Coturnix japonica: one gene and its partner. The protein of the gene in region 1 purifies or fractionates together with the protein of each later gene. This does not show direct contact. Links are inferred from orthologs where the notes say so. Each region holds a gene or a part of one and is shown on either strand. Other genes may lie near its edges. The genes, in order: ACAD9 and TIMMDC1.

Evidence for each region.
Region 2: the proteins of ACAD9 (region 1) and TIMMDC1 purify together in Homo sapiens (affinity purification with mass spectrometry; 3 studies listed by BioGRID and IntAct, counting the BioPlex papers as one, with this or other methods). This does not show direct contact. The link is inferred for Coturnix japonica from reciprocal best matches to the Homo sapiens genes ACAD9 and TIMMDC1.

What each region holds. Positions count from the first base shown.
Region 1 is NC_029527.1:3,505,194-3,508,907, forward strand, and holds part of ACAD9 (complex I assembly factor ACAD9, mitochondrial), read right to left. Parts: intron 3,435-3,714; coding exon 3,359-3,434; intron 2,800-3,358; coding exon 2,729-2,799; intron 2,404-2,728; coding exon 2,284-2,403; intron 1,397-2,283; coding exon 1,268-1,396; intron 835-1,267; coding exon 755-834; intron 250-754; coding exon 120-249; intron 1-119. UniProt on the Homo sapiens protein: As part of the MCIA complex, primarily participates in the assembly of the mitochondrial complex I and therefore plays a role in oxidative phosphorylation.
Region 2 is NC_029516.1:82,792,720-82,796,633, reverse strand, and holds the start of TIMMDC1 (complex I assembly factor TIMMDC1, mitochondrial), read left to right. Parts: upstream 1-1,400; 5' UTR 1,401-1,448; coding exon 1,449-1,543; intron 1,544-1,697; coding exon 1,698-1,863; intron 1,864-2,191; coding exon 2,192-2,280; intron 2,281-3,777; coding exon 3,778-3,845; intron 3,846-3,914.

The DNA of each region.
Region 1 (3,714 bases):
GCTCCTGAAATAATACAAACACCTGCTTAGATTTGTGCATCTCCCCATTCCTAATCGTACTTCATTCAGCAAAAAAGGTACAAAGGGAATCAAACATCAAAGCAGTGCCTGGTTCTCACCTGGAGGCTGGGATGCACCAATCCACCACGTGCTTCCATTATCCCGTAATCCACTTTTCTGCCCGTTGTGTCCCGTACTTTGTTGACCAGCTCCTGCAGTGCCAGTCCTACGTTTCCTTTCTTGATTTCTCTAGAAGTAAAGGACAATGGGATGCATTGGCTGGTATGCGAGGGAAGTTTCAGGGTAAGCGCATTATCGAGATATCTGCAGTGTTTGGAGCCTTTTGGTCCATTTTACTATGAAGTCTGGAGGACCACCCAGCCTTAGGAGCATTCAGCACAGCCCACACTCCATTCCTGCTCTAAATGCAATGAACTGCAGACACCAGCCTACGTATGCACTGCAGATGCTACAGCTGGCTGACCAGCAACACTTGGTATAAAATCTGAGGTCACTAGGCCTTATTATAATTATACACAAGCTGCAAATACAAGGTAAGATACAGTCAGGCAGGAGTCCCAAACATAGAAAATACAGCCAACTAAAAAGAAAAGACAGCTGTACGTTGAACTGCCCGTCAGACAATATATTGGGAAATGCAGCAGTTTTCCAACCATTTCCCCCTTGCATACAGTTAAAATTATCACTGTTTATTTAGTTCATTAAAAACTAATAGCAATAAATAAGAACATACTTAAGTTTGTCAGTTAAGATTTTGCCTGCGTGCTGCATACCCGTCAGAGCAATGTACATCCGCAGGATCTCGTTTGTTCCCTGCAAACAAACACACTGCAGTCACTGCCGAGTACAAAGTATGTTCAGTATCCCCAAGGCCTGGCTGTGCTGATATGGATTTTGTTGTAGCTTCAACACTATTCACTGCCTACATAAATGACGTACTCTGCTTTTCCTGGCAATATTCTACGGTGCATTTGTGCTTGTGAGGTACCATTGTTTTGAGACAGCAGCAGAACAAGATAACCATCACATGTAGGTTAATCAATAAAACCCATCAACTCCAAGTTTATTATAGGACAAATACTACCTATATCACCAAAGAAAGCAAGATTAGTTCTTCAGGCTTATTCCAACTATTACAGACTTCAGATCTAACCAGATCAAGGCCGATTTAAACGTCCTGCACACTTCAGGTTTACAGAAGCTGCGTGTGGTGGTGAAAACAAACAGCACATTCATTCATACTTGCCTCAAAAATGAGCAGTATCCTGGAGTCTCTGAGATAGCGCTCATAGGGGTATTCCTTCATGTAGCCGAGGCCTCCAAGAATTTGCAGAGCTTCGCTTACACAAGTCCACAAACCTTCAGAACTGAACACCTGCCATTAACAGCATTCAGTCACCATGGTTCACACAGTAAGAGCAGACGACATAGCTCTGTTACTATACTGCAAGTTCAAACAGGATGTAACACTGAATTTGGAGGGATTCTATCTGTGCCATTGCTGTAACACTTCGTATCGCTTCCACAGCAGCCCTGCATAAAGTTTTCATGAAATAATGTTCTTGTGCCTCAGGGTGTCAAAGTGAAAAGTTACTTGAACAATGAACACCTCCTCTACTTGCAGTCCACGTAAACTGCCTAATAAGGCCACATTTCCATAGGGCTCAGAGCCACAAGCTGAAAGAACAAACACAGCTGGTGTTTCTGAGTACCTGACACTGGCCCATTTCACACACGTTCTGAACTCAGCACACAGCAAAGAGCAGCACAAGGGCTGAATTTCCAGCTTCTCTTCAGGCTGCACTGCCAGCCAACAGCACCCACCTGTGTGCTGCAGGGACGCCTCAAAAGGTCGAACTCCTGAGTGGGCCTGGCTCTCACTGAGTGAAATCTGCAACTGATTCTGTGTCCAAGCCAGAATTAGGAGCTCCCTAATCAGGTCTGCAGCTGGAAATAAAACTTAAACACTTTCTTTGTGTGTGAAATTGCATAAAAGAGAATTCAAGAGGACCCTGACACTCCAAGTGTGCTGTATGCGGCCTGTCTTTTGTGTGGGGATACAAGCCTGAATGTACAGTAATCTGTAATGTATGGGAAACAAAAAAAGTCTTCTAATTTTTAAATCAAGCTGATGTTTTTGTATGTACATCCAAAAGTATCACCTGAGCCTCTACGCAGTTTGTAACATAGACTGAAGATCAAGGAAGGCGTCTGTCTTTATTAGCTCAGTGCTGACAGCAAGTCCTTCCTAAGATGAATTACCTTGACCATGGCTGCCTCCACAGAGCAGTCTGGGATGCCCGGCCTGTCCATCATTCCTGCTGTGAGATAAGCCATGCTCTCCATTACATACGCCTTCACGGCCATTAAGCAAAACTTCTCCTGCCAGATAGGAATGAAAGCAGTCACACGCTGATGCAGAACACGTAGCCAAGTGTGCAACAATGCTGAAACTGAGGAGTTTTTCTTCCTATGCTTTGACATATTATCCAATAATATCTAATAAAAGCAGTACTGCAAAGCACTCATGAAAACTCTTCAAGTACTTTTGCTTCTCAAAATTACAAAGATCAATGTACAGAAATCTGCCCTGAATTGACACAAATTGAACACCTCTTGTGTTTGATCTGTTACACACAGCACCGTCTGTCACAGCACTCAGCAAAACAAAGCACGGAGGTGAAGGGTTTCCATTTTTTTTAGTTACCTGAATTAATCCGAATTCGCTCAGATTCTTGTTGAATTGCTTCCTGGTGCAGGCGTGCTCCGCTGTCATTTCTTAAAAACAAACAAAAAAGCCACAAAGCAATAATATCAGCATAGCACAACACTCATTGCTGTGGTGTATCATCCCTACTGTATGGAAACAGTGCTTTTCTATTGACTGAACAACCCCCACTGCTTCCTTGACAGCACACACTGAAAATCCCCCTAAGAACGACTGTGTGATTGAGTCTGGAATGCCTGCCAAAGGCTTTTAACCAAGACCCACCCTCCATACCTGCATGTAGAGGAAGCCCGTTTTAATGCTAATTAATTACTTTTTTTGACAGATGCCCGTTAGCACTTTGGGTAACTATTGGTAGAAGCCAATTTTAGTGCCTGAAAACTTTGAACCTGATTGTGTTCATAAGAGGAGGCAGAATCTTCAGCGTTCTACAAGTTTTTAAATCAAAATTCAAAGTAAAATTAGTGTAAAATTATACATCAAGGTATATAATGACTGACATTAGTGATGTTCTGATCAAGACTAATGTTACTGATAAATATACCTTACACAGATCAATTTTTTTCCCCCCCATGGCATCTAGTAATCCAGCACACCTCATTCACTCACCTATCAACTTTTTAATCACTCCAGCAGATGCACTACCCATGCTGAACCTTCCACTGTTCAGGATATTCATGGCAACCTGTGGAAATAAAAAAGGGCGACATTTCTCTACTGAAAAATGACAAGAAAACGTGCTGGATTTCAGAGGAATGAGCTGGAGGAAACAGCCCAGAAAAAGCCCCCAGACACAGAGAAATATCTGTCCTGTACAGCACAGGAGAAAGGCATACGTGTTTATACTGGTGCTGCAGCTCGTCTCTGCTGTTACAGAGGAGGAAGGCAAAAATTCTACCTGGAAGCACAAATATTGATTTGATTTTTCTTTTAAATTTTCAGTCTATACCCAACAGTCTCATCTT
Region 2 (3,914 bases), on another chromosome or scaffold:
ATGGAAACAACTCTGTGTAGTATTTTTAACCGGTTTTTAATGACGTGCTTTTGGATTAAAACAAACAACAAAGAGCTGTTGCCTGGTGCGTTGTTTCTCAGAACGGTAAGAAAAGCTCTGGATAGTCCCCAGCTGTCTCAATGAGAAGGGGAAGTTTGTATTTCTTGTGGTATTTTTTTTTTCCCCTCTTTGACAATATTTTTAGGGCACCTCAGTGGAATCTGTGAAATACACCCATCCAAGTAGCCGAGTCATGTGTGACGGTGACTGAAAACTCTTCCTGAATGATGGCTTGCGTGAGCTGGTGACTCCTCAGCCTTTTTCCTTAGCTGCTTTCCTAGAACAGCCATGAGTAACTGCCTCCACTCCTCCCTCACAGGATGGGCCTGCACTGGCAGGGAGGTGACTCCTAGAAGTGATGGGACTTCCCTCAGGGCTGCCGTTGAGATAAAGGGTGGGATGTGAAGGGTGTTCTGCACAGTGCCTGTAAGCACGTGTAAGATGTACTGCCATAGCACTGGAGACCCACACTTCAGGGTGAGCCCTTGCACAAATACAGATATTTGGAACCTCCCAACGACTTACAACAGTAAGAATCAAGACGGTAGAACCAGAAGCTGGCACAGGTCTCAGCGGCCTGTGATGGTGGCACTGCTGCTGGGCCAGATCTGCTAATGGGAAGCACAAGCGAAGACCCAGGTGGTGTGTCATGTTCATGGCATCATAGAACTATTTGGGTTGAAAGGGACCTCGCAGCCCACCCAGCCCCAACCCCCTGCCATGGGCAGGGCTGCCCCCACCAACTCAGGCTGCCCAGGGCCCATCCAACCCTGAGTGCCTCCAGGGATGGGGGCAGACACAGACACCATGCGATAGAAAATTGGCAGCCAACACGGGAACAAAAGCCATGGGCCCTTCTCTTCCCTTCCACACACAGAAGCTCGCTCACTCTGCAAGGGGTTCCCAAGCCCCACCGTGCCCCACAGAATCACACAGAATCACAGCATGACCCAGGTTGGAAGGGACCTCAAGGATCATGTAGTTCCAACCCCCCTGCCTGGCAGGGCCACCAAACATACGCCTTTACTAGATCAGGTTGCCCAGGGCCCTGTCCAACCTGGTCTTGAACACCTCCAAGGACGGGGCATCCACAACCTCCCTGGGCAGCCTGTTCCAGGGCCTAACCACTCTCCTAGTAAAGAACTTCCCCCTAACATCCAACCTAAATCTTCCTTCTTTTAACTTAAAGCCATTTCCCCGTGTCCTGCTATTGTCAGCCCTTTCGAAGAGTTTACTCCCCTCCTGGGTGTAGGTTCCCTTCAGGTATTGAAAGGCTGCAATGAGGTCACCCCGCAACCTTCTCTTCTCTAGGCTGAACAAACCCAACTCCCTCAGCCGTGGAGCTGGGGGCGCTGCGGTGCTCGCTCAGCGCCGCCGCCGGGAAGGTTATGGCGGAGGGGCTGGGAGCCGGGGGCACCTTCGGCCGCCCCACGCCGCCGCCGCAGACGGGCTGGGAGCGGCTCAGCGAGCTGTGGCGGCGCGAGTGAGGGCCGGGACGAGCCGGGACGAGCCGGGGCGGCGGGAGGGACGGAGGGAGGGGGTTCCGGGTGCGGGGCCTGGCGCTGCCCCGCGGAGCGAGGAGCCGAGGCCTGTCCGAGCCGCGCGGCTCCGCGCTGAGCCGCGGCGTTTCCTTGCAGCGAGTTACAGCGGTACCCGGAGGAGACGATCAACATCATCAAGTCGGCGTTCACCGGGGGCCTGGTCGGCTGGCTGTACGGCGGCCTGCCCGCCTTCCGCCAGGCGAGGAGGGCCTTCATCGAGGGCAGCCAGGGAGACGTGTTCCACAACCGCGCCGATGCGGTGGTACGGGGCCGGGGGCGAATCGCGGGGAGAGCTGCCTGCGGCCCTCGGTGCTGAGCGGGGGTGGTGGAGGGGATGATGTGCAGGCAGAAGCACGATGGGGTGGAGTGGTGTCGGTTTGCCTCTGCGAGTTAATTGTTGGGGTGCCTGTTCAGGTGTAAACATAGACTCCCATTCCTCAGGAAGGGATCGGCTTTATTTACCCTTAGGGGGTGCCATTCCCAGCGCCTCGAGTTGGGTCGGTGCCGCTCGGCAGCAGCCCGCAGCACAGTGGGATGATAGTGAAGGGGAGCTGGGCTGCCGACTGTAACCCTTCTCCTCCTCCCCACAGCAATCTGCGCACCGTGCCGGGCTCAGGGGCTTCATCCGCTACGGCTGGCGCTGGAGCTGGAGGGTGGCCACCTTCGTGGCCATATTCAAGTAAGTGTTCACTTTGTGGCAGCATTTTTCTCTTGGAGAGGGTTACAGTGCACCGGCTGTTCTGGAACTGCTTTCTTTGGAGTCCAGCGGAGGGCCACAAAGATGGTGAAGGGCCTGGAGCATCTACCCTGTGAGGAAAGGTTAAGTGAACTGTGTTTAGCCTTGAGAAAAGAAGGCTGAGAGGGGAACTGATCCAGGTCTATAAACATCTAAGGTGTGGGAGGCAAAGTGGCGAGGCCAGACTCTTCAGCAGCGTGTGGAGACAGGATGAGAAACTGGAGCATAGGAAGTTCTGCATGAATGTGTGCAAGAACTTCTTTACAGTGAGGGTGACGGAGCACTGGAACAGGCTGCCCAGGGAGGTGGTGGAGTCTCCTTCTCTGGAGATATTTAAGACCCACCTGGACGCCTACCTGTGTGACGTGGTGTAGGGAGCCTGCTTTGGCAGGGGGGTTGGACTCCACGATCTCTAGAGGTCCCTTCCAACTAATTTTTCTCCTTTTTGTTACATCTTATCACCTTGTGTACAGTGTTGTGTACAGTGGCAATACTTACAGTTTGTAAGTAATCACAACTAGGAACATCACCATGCCCAATGCCACAGTATCTTTTGCCACAGTATCTTTGCTTGAGTGCAGTCAGGATGCTGTTTGCTTTCTCTTCCAGAACTTCTAATGCTTTAGATTTTTCAGGACTAGTCGTGCATTGTCATTGCCATCCACCAGATGTCTCCCATGCAAGCAAATGCATCGTCCTTTTCACTGCCCCTTTGTGAAAGGCTCTGAAGGGAGGCGCTGCTCAGTGTTACTTGTTTCTGTATGGAATCATAGAATGTCCCATGCTGGGAGGGCTCCACAAAGAATCATTGAGTCCAACTCTGGGCTCTACACTCAACTCCCTAAACTCTGGCTGTGCCCACTACCCTGGGCAGCCTGTGATGTGCCCCCCACCCTAAAATCTAAGTTGAAGGTTTTGTGCTGCAGTTAAATACATGTCCAGTTTTGTGGTTTACAAACAGGTTGTTAGTTCCACATTTTGGAAGGGTTGAAGTTACATTGGTAGAGAGAGAGATGGTGGAGGTGGTGCTCCTAATCCAGCAGGGGACCTTCTGCTTCAGGAGCGGGTAGTCCTGGTGACACCTCGGGTACGATTCAGCCCTAGTGGTAGCTGTACGGTTGAGAGGATCATTGTATTGCTCAATCCCTTTTATTCTTGAATATAGGATGAATTAAAAAACTAAAAAATTGAGTATTTGATTTACAAGAAAGGAAAAAAGACTATCCCAAAGTAGTACTCCCCAACCTCTGGCTGTCCAGCTGCATGCGGTAAAGTTGTGGAAATAAAGCACTTGTGGTTGGCATGTGTGTATGTGTGTGCTCTGGCCAGGCTGGTAGCAGGGCACAGAGGTACCCTGAGGGTTGGCTTAATGAAATCCTGCTTCTTTTCAAGCGGTGTCTTTTTCATGTGTAACTGCCTCTTTATGCCTCACCCCTACAGCATGGTGAGCACCGGTCTGTCCGTGTACCGCGATAAAACCACCATCAGTAATTTTGCTTCAGCAGGAGGTAAGACTGGGTACTTTTATCTGTGTGCTTTACTTTATCAGTGTCGTTAAGCAGAGGTCATAAATAGAA